2 linked regions of the Rhinolophus ferrumequinum genome follow. The protein of the gene in region 1 interacts with the protein of each later gene in a pairwise test. Links are inferred from orthologs where the notes say so. Each region holds a gene or a part of one and is shown on either strand. Other genes may lie near its edges.

Evidence for each region.
Region 2: the proteins of LRP6 (region 1) and GSK3A interact in binary tests that used the Homo sapiens proteins (3 or more experiments, as listed by UniProt). The link is inferred for Rhinolophus ferrumequinum from reciprocal best matches to the Homo sapiens genes LRP6 and GSK3A.

What each region holds. Positions count from the first base shown.
Region 1 is NC_046293.1:27,146,155-27,153,683, forward strand, and holds the start of LRP6 (low-density lipoprotein receptor-related protein 6), read right to left. Parts: upstream 3,469-7,529; 5' UTR 3,392-3,468; coding exon 3,337-3,391; intron 1-3,336. UniProt on the Homo sapiens protein: Component of the Wnt-Fzd-LRP5-LRP6 complex that triggers beta-catenin signaling through inducing aggregation of receptor-ligand complexes into ribosome-sized signalosomes.
Region 2 is NC_046298.1:40,146,543-40,154,420, forward strand, and holds the start of GSK3A (glycogen synthase kinase-3 alpha), read right to left. Parts: upstream 3,296-7,878; 5' UTR 2,699-3,295; coding exon 2,416-2,698; intron 731-2,415; coding exon 543-730; intron 1-542. Other genes in the region: ETS domain-containing transcription factor ERF, read right to left, coding at 7,636-7,878. UniProt on the Homo sapiens protein: Constitutively active protein kinase that acts as a negative regulator in the hormonal control of glucose homeostasis, Wnt signaling and regulation of transcription factors and microtubules, by phosphorylating and inactivating glycogen synthase (GYS1 or GYS2), CTNNB1/beta-catenin, APC and AXIN1.

The DNA of each region.
Region 1 (7,529 bases):
AACAGAAATTGGTCTTTATACCTTAGGATATCTCAGAGCCCTCAATGTGTAAATATGAATTATGGAATTTCCAAAAGAAGGATTCATTATCCCAATGAACATAATGAGGTGTATGGAGATGAAGTGACCTATCCAAGGTCACACAGCTAGCTAATGGCAAACTTAGAATCAGAACCTACTCCTGATTCCCACTCCAAAGTTCATTCTACCTCCCTAAGACCTCATCACACCTAACATTAAAAAAACCAAAACAAAACAAAAAACACTTTTCCACGGGTCACTTCTATAAAAAGATAGGAAACATTAGTGGCTTGTCCTGACAGTATTTACCACCCCCCCACCAAAACAAGTAACACAAAAAAAGGTAAACAGCAAAGAATTTTTATAAAACAACAAAAGCCTCCTCAAAGTAAGCTGGGACATAGTATTGACAGATTATACACACTAATGGTACTCTAAAGCATATATTCTAATAAAATATGTCCTCTAGAAAATCGGAGATACAATCTTTTCTAATCAGTACCTGGACGGAACTAAGAGAATGGTAAAAATAACAACCTAGATTGTGAGGTCCGTTAGAGCAGCGACCATGAGCCTGAAATATAGTAGGTATTCCAACATATTTGCTAAAAGCATGAACAATAAATCCCTGCTTTACCATTAGATACTGATCAAGTTATAATCTCTCTGAATCTGAGTTTCCCCACTTGCAAATGAAGCGGTCAGACCAAAATGACCAAGATCTCACCTACCTTTAAGAATTCATGAATCTTACACAAATTATTAATAAATCTCAAATCTCCAGCATTTGAGGCCATGTCCACAAATAACCAAAAACTATAACAAAAATTAATATTTGTAGGTCACTTCATAGTCATTACTTCATTTAATATGCCCAGTAAACCTGAAAATTAGAGTGGTATTATTACCCACATTTTACAGGTAAAGAAACTGAGGCCCGGAGAAATTGCCTGGACCAGAAACATAGTTATTAAGTAGTGAAGCATGGACTTGAAACCCAAGATTTTAGGGTTAAAATCTCCCATTCTTTCCATTCCACCCTGTCCTCTGATAATAGGGACGGAGATGCAGCCTAGCTGATGACGGCATTATTCCCCAACTTTCAGCTCTTAACAGGGCTACAGGGCAAAAGGTTTCCCAAACTCTCTCATCATCCCATCTTCCCAGTTAAAGCTCCAACTCTTCAGTAAAGAAAAATGACCTTAATACAACAAATTAATCACATTTTTTTCCTTAGAGCCCAAGGTGAACTCGTATCACTATTATAACAGAGGATGACATTATCAAAGAATAAAAAGAAGTTAATTATGAATACAATGTTTCACAATCAAAAGACAGTTTTAGTTCAAATGATATGTACTCACAGTTATGTACTGTTACATTCAAAGACCACCTTATGTCATTATTATGTTACATTTAAAATGAAACCTTCACTTTTGGAAACTTTGTTTGCTAGCAGGTATGAGGCCATTTAAACTACTAATGCTTAGGTCTTGTTACAATACTACCATACTTCAAAACACTACTTCAAGTTCAACTTCTCTTAATTCCAGTAATGAACAAACCCAACTCTAGGCTCAAACTTGGTGTTAAAATAAACAAGTGTCATTTACATCACACCCTTCCCCTGCAAGAAATACAACTGGGCAACCAGGAGCATCCCGGGTTATGGATTTAGATTTCCCCAAGACTTTAACCAATCAGCTGACTCCCACATTTGTTAACTCTTATTTTCTGTCTTCAAATATATACATCTTCTATGTCAAATATAATTGTTTCTCACAGCTATGGCAAAACCCCCTTTCAACAGGGAGTATACTACAATAAACATATACTTATTAAACCTCTCAAGTGCGTAAACACCACATTAAATCCTCTGCCAAGAAAATTAAATGAGCATTATCTTTCTGGGGGTTACATGTGGAAACAGTTTGGAATACGCTTAGTGAGTCCTAATTAAGTAGAAGTAGATAAAACATACAAACATCATAATCCTGCAGAAGAGGAAAGAAAAACAATTCTTCCTCAAAAAAGAAAAAGGTCACTTATGCTCACCCAAACTAAACCTACACGTACAGAAATGGCACACCTGGCTGATTCATATCGCAAGATCGTTAGTTACTATCATGTTCTGTAAACTTCAGTACGTTCTGGAGGCTTAACAAAAGTTTAGCCTATTAAATCAATAGCTAAAAAGCTCCATAGATTCAAGAGGTCCCATACCTGAAAAGAACTGACCGGGAACGGCAAGTGAGACTTTTAACAAAACCAAAGCTACAAGCCTCTGCATCAATCAGGATTTAAATTCCTCTCCTGGTAAAGGCTCAATAGCATCAGACTGATCACCACTTCACCACTGGTAAGTTTGAGAAGAGCTGTTGATATCTTGCCGGCCAGTCTAAACCTTAGTGAACTGTCACAAAATCAAAGTCACAGCATATGTGACAGCTTCGCATGCCAATTCAAAAAACCACAGGACCATCGAATGTATGCGATTCTCAGAGCAAATTACATAGAATAGCCTATGTTATTTACCAAAGTGCCAAGCAGTCCCCAGGGGAGCGCAGCAAATGATAACTTAGGTCCCAGGACAGGCTCCTTTTCACACAAGGATGACTTTCCCAGTTAGTGCCAACTGTACACTCGCATGCTCCGAAAATAGGGGCAAGTCCTGAGCACCAGGGGTGGCAAGGGCAACGCTTCCATTTTATTATGGGCTGAAGCTCCGAAGATTCCCAACGCTGAATCGCTCGACCTATAACCTCGGAGTCACTCTCCAACTGTGCTCTCACCCAGAATCATTATATCCCGAACGGAAGCCAATTATTAGTTGTAACAAGACCTGGAAAAATAGTACGAGGACCCTAAAAGTGCACATGAGAGACACAGAAGAGGTGGGGGCTTCGAGGAAGAAGACCAACGTTAAAGCATCTTGGGCTCCAACATTCTAAACGCCAAAATACATACAAAGACCCTGCTCCCGGATGACTGCAGGCAGAAAGAGACACACAGACCCTCAGTCATTCCGACAGCATGGGACTCCAGGGGTTCACCTAGACCAGCAGCCCGGGCTGAGGCTCTGATTCGTCCCGAGAAGGTCTTACACCGAGGCAGGGGTCTGCATTGTGGCCAGACAGAGCGCACAGCCCCTTTTCCCGGGCCCCTTTCCCTCTCCTTCCCCACCACCAGGCCTCTCCCCGCTCCTCTTCTCCTTTTCCTCCCTCCCTCCCCTCCCCCCAGACACACACAAAACAAGGCCACCTCCCCCCCCAAATCCCACCAACTTTCCCGTGTCCACCCCCCCGCCCTTCCCACCTCTCAGGAGCACACAGAAACTGCAGGCCAGGAGGCTCCTCAGGACGGCCCCCATCTTCCCTTCTTGCGTTCTCTTCTCTCACCGGCGAGGGGCGACCAGAAGAGGGGGAGGCGAGGAGCCGGGGCGGCCGCCGCAGCGGCAGGTCTGCACGCTCATGCTTCCCAGCTTGCCAGAGAGAGAAGAAAGGGGCACGTCAGGGCTCCGCGCGCGCCGCCGCCGCCCTCTCTACCGCGCCGCTCTGGCCAGGGTTCGCGCGACGCCAGCGTCTGCTTCCATCCCGACGCCTCCTCCCCCGGCGCCCCGCTTCCCCCGCGCAGTTCCTCATTCAGCCTCTTCCTCTCACGCAGCGGCGCAAGGATACGAGCCGCCCGTCGCCGGGATGCGCGGCCAAGGTGTCCCTGCGCGCGGCCAAGGTGTCCCTGCGCGCGGCCGAGCCCCCTCCCTGGGCACCCCCTCTCTGGCAGGTATGAAAGAAAGTGGGGGTGCACGCCCTGCCTCTGCTTGGAGACTCCCGGAGATCTGCGGGGCGAGCAGAGGGGACTTGGAGGGGATAGACCGCGCCGCGGCGCATTCCAATGGGATTCTTTGCCCGGCCGGCCGCTGAGCCCTCCCCGTGGAGGGCGTGAAGCGACGTCGAATAACATTGGAGCCGGCGTGGTCGGGACTACTTTCTGCTGCTCCGCCGGGCAGCCGCCTGCTCCGCTCTTTGTGCGGCGGCCGCCGGCGGAGCCAGGTGGACCTGCGGGTCCCCGCCGGCAGCACCTGGGCCGGGGTTCCGGGGGGCGGCAGGCCGGGGGCGCCTGAGCCGCAGATCCACGCTCGGGGAGCCACGTGGATCCCGACACGGGATGAGCAGCTCCATCTTCAGGGTTGGAAATTGGTTTAGGCAATTTTTTAAGGAAAAGAAAAACCCGTGCCCCTGAACCCCAGCTTCAAACGTGGATCTGGTGAAGGATGCTCAAACCCCAACTCAAACTCAGGTTTTTTATTTCTCTCCTGGCTTCCCCGAACTACAGACTCCCCCCCAGAATTAAGTCCTACACGAACTAAAGATTTCTGAAGTGGCAGATAAAATTTCAAGATAAATGCGTCAGCACCTAAGACAGAGCAGAGGGACAATTGGAGAGGACTGAGGATTTTACAAGTTGCCTTTTAATAATGAATGTTCGGCATGTTTTGATGATCAGTTCTCGGCTTGAGGAGGAAAGGATTCCCCAGAATCTGACTCATTTTGCACAGCCTCTGCTACTCCCGCTGCACTGGGCATTGAAGCGGAGCGACCCAGACGCTCTCGGATATTAAGTGGCTGAAAGGACACTCCCAGAGTTAACCATAATGGAGCTATCTGGTCCGTTCTGTCCAGCTGTTACACACCTTTACCTGGGGGCACATGGGAAACAAGTGGAGCTACTCCAGAAATGTTACTAGTACCGAGTGACATTGGAGTTCACCGAGTGCTTGCACACACATCAAATTTGACACTCAAAACTACCCTGGGGTAAGACAGGTTTTGTTACTTACCCTCGATTGCACAGAGGAGGAAAAGAAGAATCTGAGAAGTTCAGTGACTTACCCAAGACTCAAATACTGAATGGCAGGACCCAAACTTAAGCCAGGACTTCTTACTTCACTCTCCTCCTTCTAAGAAATGCAGGCTGAACCAGGGCAATGCGTGTCTGTCAGCAGATACAAAGGCAGAAACAGCCAAATCATTTTCTCATAAATTCATCTGAGAAAGTCTACCCACTATTGATTTCAATTACCTTCTACCAAGTACCATGTAAGTGCTGTGCAAGTTTTGTATTCTGACCTCAAAACGCATAACTGAGAACCCCGTTTTTCAGCAATAGCCTAGGGAATTATTGTGAAGCTACTGAGTCTGTGGAGAAACAATGTTAGTGATAAAAGCATGAAGTTTGGAATGAGACTCGGGTGAGGACCCAAACCCTACTAGTTACTAGATGTGTGACTTGAGGCACGATATTTAAATGCACTGCACCTCAGTTTTCTCCTCTGTAAAGTGGATATAATGCCTCCTTCAGGCTTGTCAGAAGGATTAAATTAAATAATATATATAAACTGCTCAATATATAACAGGTGTTCAAGAAATGACCATTTCTTTTCTTTCTCAACTCCTTCAAGGTGAATGGTGTCATAGTAACTTGAAATATTGGGAAATAATGGGAGACAAAAATTACATGCTCAAAATGTTTATTGCAGAATTATTTATAATTGGAGGTAGATAACCATGAAGCTAGTGAAACTTGAACTTCATGACCGCTCACTTTCCCAAGCCCCTTCCAGAGCCCAGGGAGGGGCCCTAACAGTGTGGTCACATGGGCCTATTTGCAAAAGTCAGATGATTTTGCATCCTTTTTCTTTAAACACCCCTCAAAATTGTATCAATTTCAAGTCCCACAAAACTAGGATTTGTTCCTATTTATAACAGAAAACTGAGGACAACCTAAGTCTCTTTAGGCTTTCAATCTAAGTAGGAAATGAGATATTATTATACAATGCTGAAAAAAATAATAATTTGGAAGACTGTGCAACAGTGTTGGAAAATGTTTGTAGTTAGCTAAACTTAAAAGCATGTAAAAGTACATGTACGTTTTAATTACAGCTGTATGAAATATAAATATATACATAAACACGTGTTTTATATATATATATGCATATATATATATATATATCTCACGTGTCTGAGCAAAGAAAGTAAATGCACTAAGATAGACATTAGGATGGTGAAATAATATGAGATTTACTTTTCTGTTCTTAAATTTCCTTTATTATATTTTTTTTCCAAATTCTTTTAAGTTACCTAAGTGAAAATCTCTAGCTTAACCTTAAACCCTAGCCTGGACAGTATTCTCACTATTTAACTAATTCGTTTTCACATTCATTCAAGTGTCTGTTAAATATTCAATGTCAGTCATTGTATTAAGTGCTGGTTGTGCAAAGATAAGATTAATCATAGTCCCTACCCTCAAGGAGCTTACAACCTAGTTTGGAAATACTAATTAATAACACAAATAATTAAAATGTTTAAATTGCTATGCTGCAGAACTGTACCATATTAACAAGGAACTCAAGTACCGAAGCGCTTACTTCTGCCTAAAGAATTTAAAGAAGAGAAAATAACCCTAGAGCTGCGCCTTGAAATACAAGTCGGAGGTTGTCAGGCCAACAAGACTGACAAGGAATTCTAAGCAGAAGGATAGCAGGTGCAAAGACACTGAATTACTAGACAGCTCTTGGCATGTTAGGGATTTGAAAGTAGACACATATAGCTGAAGTATAGGTTGCTTTTAGAGAATGTCAGGAAATGAGTCAAGACCGTTAAGTAGGTATTGGATAATAAAGAGCTTTATTAAGTCATGCTAAGAAGTTTAGATTTTAGCCTCTTGACAATTACAGACAGTAAAGTATTTTTCTCATTGATTTGCAAGTTAAATAAATTGGCAGCAGTGTGGATAATAGGAGGGAGAGATAAGTCTATGAAAAGGATGGTCAGGCCAGCAGCACTGGGAACTGAAAAGAGATAATGGATTTCAGGAATATGAAATCAAAACAGCAGGATTTGGTAACCTATCAGATGTGAATTGAGAGAGAGAGATCTATGATGAATTTCTAAGTTTCTAAGATAGGCACCCCAGTGAATGGGAGTCTCATTTACGAAGAAAAGAAATGCATAAAGAGTTATTTCAAGAGGGGGTGACGATAAGCTAAACAATGGGTCTTTTCTATCGGCCGTGTCTGTAAAACCTCCAGCTGGAGATACTCAGTAGACAGGTTTGATACAGAACTTTGGACCCGGGAGAGGAATGGAAAACACAGCTATCCATAATGATTATGGAGGTCATATGACACACAATCCAGGGGATATATTGTAGACTATTGAATAGTGACTGAATAGTTATTACCACAGTTTTCTGGACAATGACAGTAAGGTGTCTTCAGAAAGGGAAACCCTATTCTAATTCAGGTGAAGTCACCTCTGGGCCACCTCATTGATGGACTAAGGCAAGACGGAGATTATGGTTGAAACCATAAACTTAAGGAAAGAATAGAGCATTTAGTGTGACCAGAAAAGTGAGCCAAGACAGAACCGTGTGGTATTCAAGTATCTAGGAGCAACAAAAGAAGAGAAGCTAGGGAAAGAGACCAAAAAGGTGCAGGTGGAAAACTGGCT
Region 2 (7,878 bases), on another chromosome or scaffold:
ATCCTCAGGGGGACACAGCCCCACAGCAAGGCACGTGGTTTGGTGAGAGCTGCTGCGCAGGCTGGATCCCACCCCCTACTTATCTGCGGCACAGCAAGGCCTTTGCTAACACACTCAATCAGCTCCCCCAGCTTCCTTTCCCCTCTAAGCAGAAGCTTAACTCCGTAAAGGTAGAGGACTTGGGAATCAGATGCTAGTCTTGACCTTTGGCAATTCTCTTATCTGAGTCTCAGTTTCCAGCTTCTGCTTACTTGAAATGGGAATAACAATAGTATCTACCTTCAGCGAACCTTTATGTAAATTAAACAAAAACTCACCTGCAAAGCCCTTACAAAGAGGAAAAGCCCAATAAATGTCAGCTCTGGGCTCTGCTGGAATCTATATTCCCATCTTCCACACAACTCACTCTCTTCTCTCCCTTCTCCTCGGGCCCATGCTAAGATCCTCTGTAGAACCCTAAGGCCAGTGCTTCTGGGGCTCTCTCACCAGTCATGCCCAGTCAAGCCTCCATGTCCTCACCCGTGCCGCGCCCCCCAAGCTACCTTAAACCTCTTGTCTTGAAGAACCTTCTTGATGGCTACCAGTTCCCTCGTCTCTGCCAGCCGTGCCTGGTACACGACCCCAAATGAGCCATTGCCAATCACTTTGATGTCTGTGTAAGCCACCTCCTGGGAGCGATCCGGGCCTTGGCCTAGAGTGGCTACCACTGTGGTCACTTTGCCGCTGTCACCTGGGGAACAAAGGGGACACAAAACCCACTGACCTTTCCCCTCTTGCCACCATCCCCTCCTGGGGCTGTGGGAGGGAGGGGAATCACTACAGGTAGCTTTCTGGGGCCTCTCTGTCCCTTTTTCCTTTCCCCTCTCCTCCCAGTACCCTCCCCCAGGATACTGACATCTAAACCTCTTGCAGACCTTTCATCTCCATTTCTAGTAAGCAGCAAACCACTGGGTCCTTTTGGTCTAAGGAGACACCGACACTCCCAATCCACTCTGAAGTTTACTGCCCTCTGGGCCCTCCTGACTGGGGAAAGCCTTGACCTAACCTCTTCCACTCAAGTGGTAATCCTGAGGTACTTCTACTTTAGAAAAGCACTAACCTTCCTCACAGCTCAGGGCAGAGTGACCTCTACACACTCCCTGGTGGAGCTGGTAACTTCACCAGTGGTTTTTGGTGACAGGAATGAATGACTCCTCCTGGCATGAGCGTGCTAGTGCCCTGATTCTCACTTTTTGGGGACAGTTAGCCCTAATCCAAATACTTTGGGATTAGAGAAGGCATTGACCTGACCTCACCTGTACAGCCCAGAGCCCCAGACCCCTTCCAGCATGAGGGTGGACCCTAATGGACAAGCACCAAATTGTGAGACTGGTGAACCTGATCTCTATAACCAAGGGGCTAGCCCAGCTTCCATCCTTCAAAGAAAAGCTGTAATTCCCAGTTCTGGTTTCTGAATGGCAGCAAACTTTGGTAGCATTCTTTGGGGACAGGGACCCCTTTTCTTTGGGAAAGTGAGGAAAGGTTCCCCAAAGAAAAGGGGTCATTGATGAATCAAATCCATGTTGAGGGACCAGTTGACACCTTCTTTTGTCAGAGGTGATTCTACGTAGGTCTTTTTCCAGAGCCAATGACACACCTCAGAATAACGAAAGGGGTATAACCAGATCCATATTCTATGGGGAATTGTGACTCTCTCCTGCCCTCATTCCATTTTTGTGAAAGGAGACCCACCAAGCCATGTTTTAAGAACAGGGACCGTGACTTGATCTGATGGAGATACTGACTCCCACTCTGTCCTTATTTCTAAAAAGCAGCAACCATTAATTTCTACCATTGGGGGAACAATTCTACATATTATGAACAGGTAATGATACCAAACTTTGTGTTTTAAAAGGGAAGATGACCTAGGTACCAGGTTTGGAAAGCCCTAGCCCTGATCTTTGGGGACACAGTAACTCCAAATACCTGCTTCTAAACAATATTCACTCCAAATCCCATCCTTTGAAGGGGAACAAATTCAGAGCCCCTTTTCGGGTGGTGGTGTTTTTATTCTTGTTCTCTTCGGGAACAATAACCCTTGAGCTTCATTCGTAAGTGACGATGACCCCTGATCCTGTTCTCTAATGGATGGCAACGTCAGATCCCTGTTTTGAAGCCTCAAGGACCCAAGACCTTGATACTAGAATAACAGGAACCTGTGACCCCTGGTTTTTCTACGGTAACTAATTCTAATCTTAAACTGCAAGTGATGGTAACCCCCCAAATCCTTCTTTGGGAGGAGTAGAGCTCAGATCCCAGTTTTGGGAGGCACAATGACCTCGAGCTCCTATCTGGGCACATAAAAGAACCTGATCTACGATTGAGGGGCTTCAGGAACCCTCATCTCCACCCACCACGGGCGCCCCTAGTACTCACGGCCCAGCTTCACTCCCGGCGGCGGGAAGCTGGTGCCCGCGCTGGGACCGCCGCTGCCTCCTCCGCCACTGCCGCTGGGGCCACCCCCGGAGCTTGAGGCCCCCACGCCCCCACCCATGGCTCCGACTGACGCCTTCCCGCCGCCGCTGCCGCCCGGGCCGGAGGCCGAGCCCCCGGGGCCGCCACCGCCGCCGCCGCCGCCGCCTCCTGGCTCCGCGAACGAGCTGGTCCGCGCCCGGCCCGAGCCCCCAGGGCCACCCCCTGAAGGCGCGCCGCCGCTCATGGCACCGAGCGCAGGCCCAGGCCGCGGGGCTCGGGCTGCCCGAGCTGCCGCCGCTGCCGCCGCCTTCCCCGGCCTCCGGCCTCTTCCAGGCCGCGCCGCTCGGGCTCCGGCTCCGGCCCAGCGCCCGCCGCGGGGCACACCGGGAGATGCAGTCCGCCTGCCCTCCGCGCCTCCGTCACCGCCCTCGGCCCAGAGAGAGCCGCGTGGCACGCCGGGAAGTGGAGTCCGCAAAGGCTTCAGAATAGACCGTGGAGATGATGGGTCGCGCTGCCCGTCGAGAAATAGGGTCCTGGGCAATAAATCGATCCACTGTGCCCACGGCGGACCCAGAAGCACTTTGGGAGGCCAAGTCAGAGTCGCACACTTCCTCCAATGCGGCAACGGTGAGCCTCTCACCGTTCAGTGTACCTCAGAAATGTAGTCGCAGCCACTCGGTGAGCGGCCTCATGCACGCCGGGAAACGGAGTCCAGTCGGTCACTAAGTCTATTAGCTGTGTATGTCCACCAGCACCAGGTGTACTTTGGGAAATTGAGTCGGCGCAGGAGGACCCGCAGATCTCGGACCAGCAGATCTCGGACAGTGAGGCAAGCCGGGAAATGGAGTCGTCGCCACGCCCTCACCGCATTGCAGGTGTAAAGCGACTCCCAAAGCACGCCGGGAAATGGAGTCCCATGTGATTCCCTAAGTCCCAAGTGGATACTGCAGTTCCGGAGATAGACTGGGAAATGGAGTAGATATAGCGCTCCTCCTCCCTCGCACGCTAGGCCGCAGTTCCTGCCGGGAAATGTAGTCAGCACCACGGCTTCAGAGCAGTTGCTACAGCGAGCCCTTGTGTCTTCTGGGAAATGGAGTTCCAGGCAGTCTCCCATTGACTGAGGGGGAGGGATCTACTATGAGCCCGAAGCATGCTGGGGAATAGTCCAGACCGGATCCTGACACTTTGAGACTAGACTGCCTACGCTGACGGGGAAGTGGAGTCCAATTGGTGGGTACCTTCGGGAAAGCCTGAGCGAAAGGTGAAAGTCGGCAGTTTCCTATGGAGACTGAAGAGTGTTTCAACGCCTCCTTCCCCATCTCCAGGTCCCAAGAAAGAGCCTAAGTCGATTAGGAGCTGCTGGAAAGTGGAGTCCAAACACTCCTTCTAAGTTCTAAGTTTCCACAAAACAGGAAGGAAAACCCCCGTGCAAACGACTTAGGAAACAGTTACCTGCAGTTTCTCAGAACAATAGTCTTAGGATACAATCTAGCTTTTTCTAGTTTTGTGATTTGCACCCAGAGGCTGAGCCGAGCGTTAAAAAATACAATTTGTCCTGAACCCCCACTTAGCTTTTTGCGTCTTTCCACTTCCTAAATTATAGGATCCTGGAGGATCCAAAAGAGGAAGTTGGGTGCTAAGAGTACCCTTAGGTTTTGTGCACGCTTTATGTCGCCCCATTTATCGATTTAATACCCGGAAGGACGGTAGCACCAAAGGGAGCTGGGAAACAGAGTTCGTGTGCGTTTGCGTGTGTGTCCCGGAAATACTTGGAACAAGAATGAAATCACCTCAGCCCCTCCTGCCTCATGGAATGATGGGAAATGGAGTCTCTGGACTTCACTTTAATCCGATCCAGTGTTGGTGCTAACTGTCCTGACCCTTCAGAAGTCTAAAGAAAGTCTCGTCCACTTTGTCCAGTCCTGACTACAATTCCCAATGGGCACAGACACCACCACCACCACTCCCGGGGCCGGGACAGACGGTAGCGTTAAAGGCCTTTCGGACTACATTAACCAGAGGCAAAGCGCGGACACACTTCTATTCCTTCAATGAATGCGGTTGCGTCACACACAGCACGGAGCGGGTGTTTCTGGGAGTTGTAGTTTCCCAGCCAAACGGTACCTGCTGCCCTCTGACGGCAGCTCGGAGTCGGAAAGCAAAAATCTGAGTCAAGACCCAAAGCCCTGAGAAGTCAACCCTACACTGGACCAAGAAGGCCCAGAAGGGCAGCGGAGAAGGGCAGGATAGTGGCGGTTACTTAACGGCCTGGACCCGTGGGACATGCGCAGTGGGCCGCGCGTAGGCAACCGCCACAAGGGTATTGGGATCAGTGGGAGTATGAAGGCAACAGTCGGAGGGAGTCTTACCAGGATATTTATAGGGCTTGAGAACATTTGTTGAGGGGTGCCAGGGCGGGTTGTGTCTTTGAGGAGCTTTTGGGTGTCTGGAGGTACTCAGAGGTACCTTGGAGAAGTGAAGGCCTCTTACTGGGGACCAGGGGAGAAGTCAGAGGGGATTTGGGGTGTTTTTAAACGGTCTCTGGGAGACTGAGAAACTACTGGTGACTGAGGGGATCTCTGAGGTGCCTGAAGGGGTAAGGGATGGTTGAGAAGCATCAGGAAGGAGCTTTGGGGGTCAGTGTGAGTGCTGGGTGTTATAGATAAAAGGACCTCTGATGGGGTGAATTAATTGATGAAGTGTCGTGGATCTATAAAGGGATTTCTGCTTGGAATCAGAGATCCTGGAGGATGCGGTAAGGAGCAAGGGTGTGGTCTTGCAGAAACTGCGAACAGATTTAGGTGGATCGTTAAAGGTTAGAGGAGCTGCTGGAGGTTTCAAGACCCGATGCCACCTCTAACATCCCGCTCAGCCAGAATTGGGGGCAACCAGTCTGACTGGACCTGGTCTGACCTGAGCAGTTCTAGAGCTGAGCACTTTTGAATCCATGTTAGACCTGGTTAGAGGTGCTTCGAAGGTACTGAAATCAGAAGATGAGACTACTAGTCAGCGTCCTCCCCCCTCCCCCGTGATGACATCCCCTTCTCCATCACACCACCACCACCAATTCAGCTGCATCTATGTTGCCAGGAGACATGCCTCATCCCAACTTCCAGAAATAGCCCAGTGGCCCCCACCCCAGGGAGTGACTTACATCACCCAGGAGAGGGAGCAGTTGCCCGCAGGCTGCCATGGGAGCCTCGGTTTCCTGCTAATACCCCAGCCCTGGATCCTCTCTTCACTGCCAACATAATCTGGGACCAGCCATCCTTGGCTGGCATGAAATGAGGATGAAGCGAGTGGGGAGGAGCTACCAGTTCCTTCCCCGAGTCGCACAGGGTGGGGTTTCACAGTGAAGCCAGTCCAACAGGCCCTGAGCCCTCAATTCCCACTCTCTTAGCAGCTGTGTGGCCTCAGGGAAACTCCTTCCCGCCTCTGGGCCTCAGGCACCTCACCTGCACGGTAGTGGCTGAGCTGTCTGGAACAGCACTTCCAAGCCTGGATTCCTCCTGACTCGTTGATCCCTGATTCGAGCTCCCCAACCTGAGCTTCTAGCTTGATGAGCTCACTTCTCAGATCCTATGATTTTGAGACCCTGGTCTAGATCCAACCATCCTAGCTTTAGGAGGAAAACTCAGGAGTCGAAAGAACACAGACTTCATTTAGTCCTGGTTGGGCTTAGGACCTTGGACATTAACTGAGTCACTTGCCCTGCTGGATGTTGGAGATAAATAACTGCAGCTCCTAACTAGGTACTTGGTATACAGTAGGTCAATCAACAGCGACTTTGATTAAGCTAGTCCCCATCTCAACTTGCTGGTGGAGGATGTTCCCATGGTTCCACAGGAAGATCACCAAGGTCCCTTGCAAGGTGTACATTCCAAGAGACTGCAGGCCTGTCCCCAAAGGACTCCCAGACTAAGTGCTCTAAGGAGAGTGATGTGTGAGAGGACACTAGAGGTAATGCAAAAGGAGCTCCAAGCCTTCTCCAGAGCCTGGGGACATGGGGAGGAATTCAGAGCCAGAGGGAAAAGTCATTTCAGGCAATAGGTGGAGTCTAAATGCTTCCAAGGACAAGTCGCCCCATGGGATAGGGAAGCAATCAGATGATGACTGGAGTATGCCTGAGACCTAAATCATTGAGCCCTGGAGGTATGTACCTCCCACCCCCACCCCCCCTTCAGGAGGTCACTTCCCTGAAACCACACATTCAGATGGGGTTAGGCCCTCTGGCCATAGATTCACTGGGGAGTCAGTCCAGGCCCCAGTCCTTCAGAATCCAACACAGGCTATGGTCCCTTGATGAGACAGATCATTCCACCCAAAGGTCCAAAGTTTTATTGTTTTGAATACATTCTCCAGCAGCCCCCAACTTCCCTCCGCCCCCCACCCTCAGTCCCCAGTACAGAATAAGGCTTAACCACAGACCCCACCCCAGGGGCCCCAGCCAAGAGGCAGAGGGTCTTCCAGTTTGGATTCAGGGTACCCCCTTCCCACCCCTGCCTACCTACGGGCTGGTCCTAGGAGCAGCTGGGGGTAAAGGGGTTGGACCGGTTCTGGGGTGGGGAGTAGGAGAGGGATAGCAGGCACTTGTAGAGATTTGTGGCCTATGGGTGGCACCCCTCACCCTCCTCTACCCCCCACCCCTCAACACAGAATTTTTGGTTCATCATAAAATGTCCCTCCCTCCCCTGTTGCAACCCTGTGGGGTGAGAAACCCAGGCACTCATGGCCCCTGGAGGGGCAGGGAAGGCTGGATTGGGGCTGAGGATGGCTGGAGGTGGACAGGGAGAGGTACAGGAGGCAGAGAATAGGGAGGGAGACAAGGCTTTACTTCCTAAGCGATTGTAATAAAAAAGTTCCTGGGCTTCGAGGCCAAAGCCTCAGTTCAAATATAAATTCCCCAGAGTGGAGGTGGCCCCCTTCACAACCCCCTCCCGCCCCCCCACCACCACTTTGCCCAGAGCTTAGAAACCCACAGAGACAGGGACAGCCCCCAGCCCTGGGCACCCACCCACCCTTCACCATTAAAAAAAAAAAAGTTAAGTTTTATACAAAACGTGGGGAGGGAAGAGGAGGCAGGGAAGAGACTAGAGCTGCCCTCACCTCCAGGGCACGGGGGACTTAAGGCAGCAAAAGAAGCACAGGGGGTGGGGCAACAGGGTCCCCTGCCCACAACCCTCAGGAATCTCGATGCTCCAGAGAGAGCTGGGCTGTGGCGTGCTGGAGGTCAGAGCTCACCCGCCTCGGGGTGAGGGGTCCCCCGGCCTCCCCAGGCCCCTCCCCACGCACCTTTTTGTCCTCACCCTCATCCTCCAGGCCCCCAGCAGGGCCCCCACCCCCCTCCAAGCGACAGTCTTCACTCCAGCGCCGTTTAAAGCGAAGCTTGAGGGGCATGCACTGCGCGGCCCCAGGTGCCTCGCC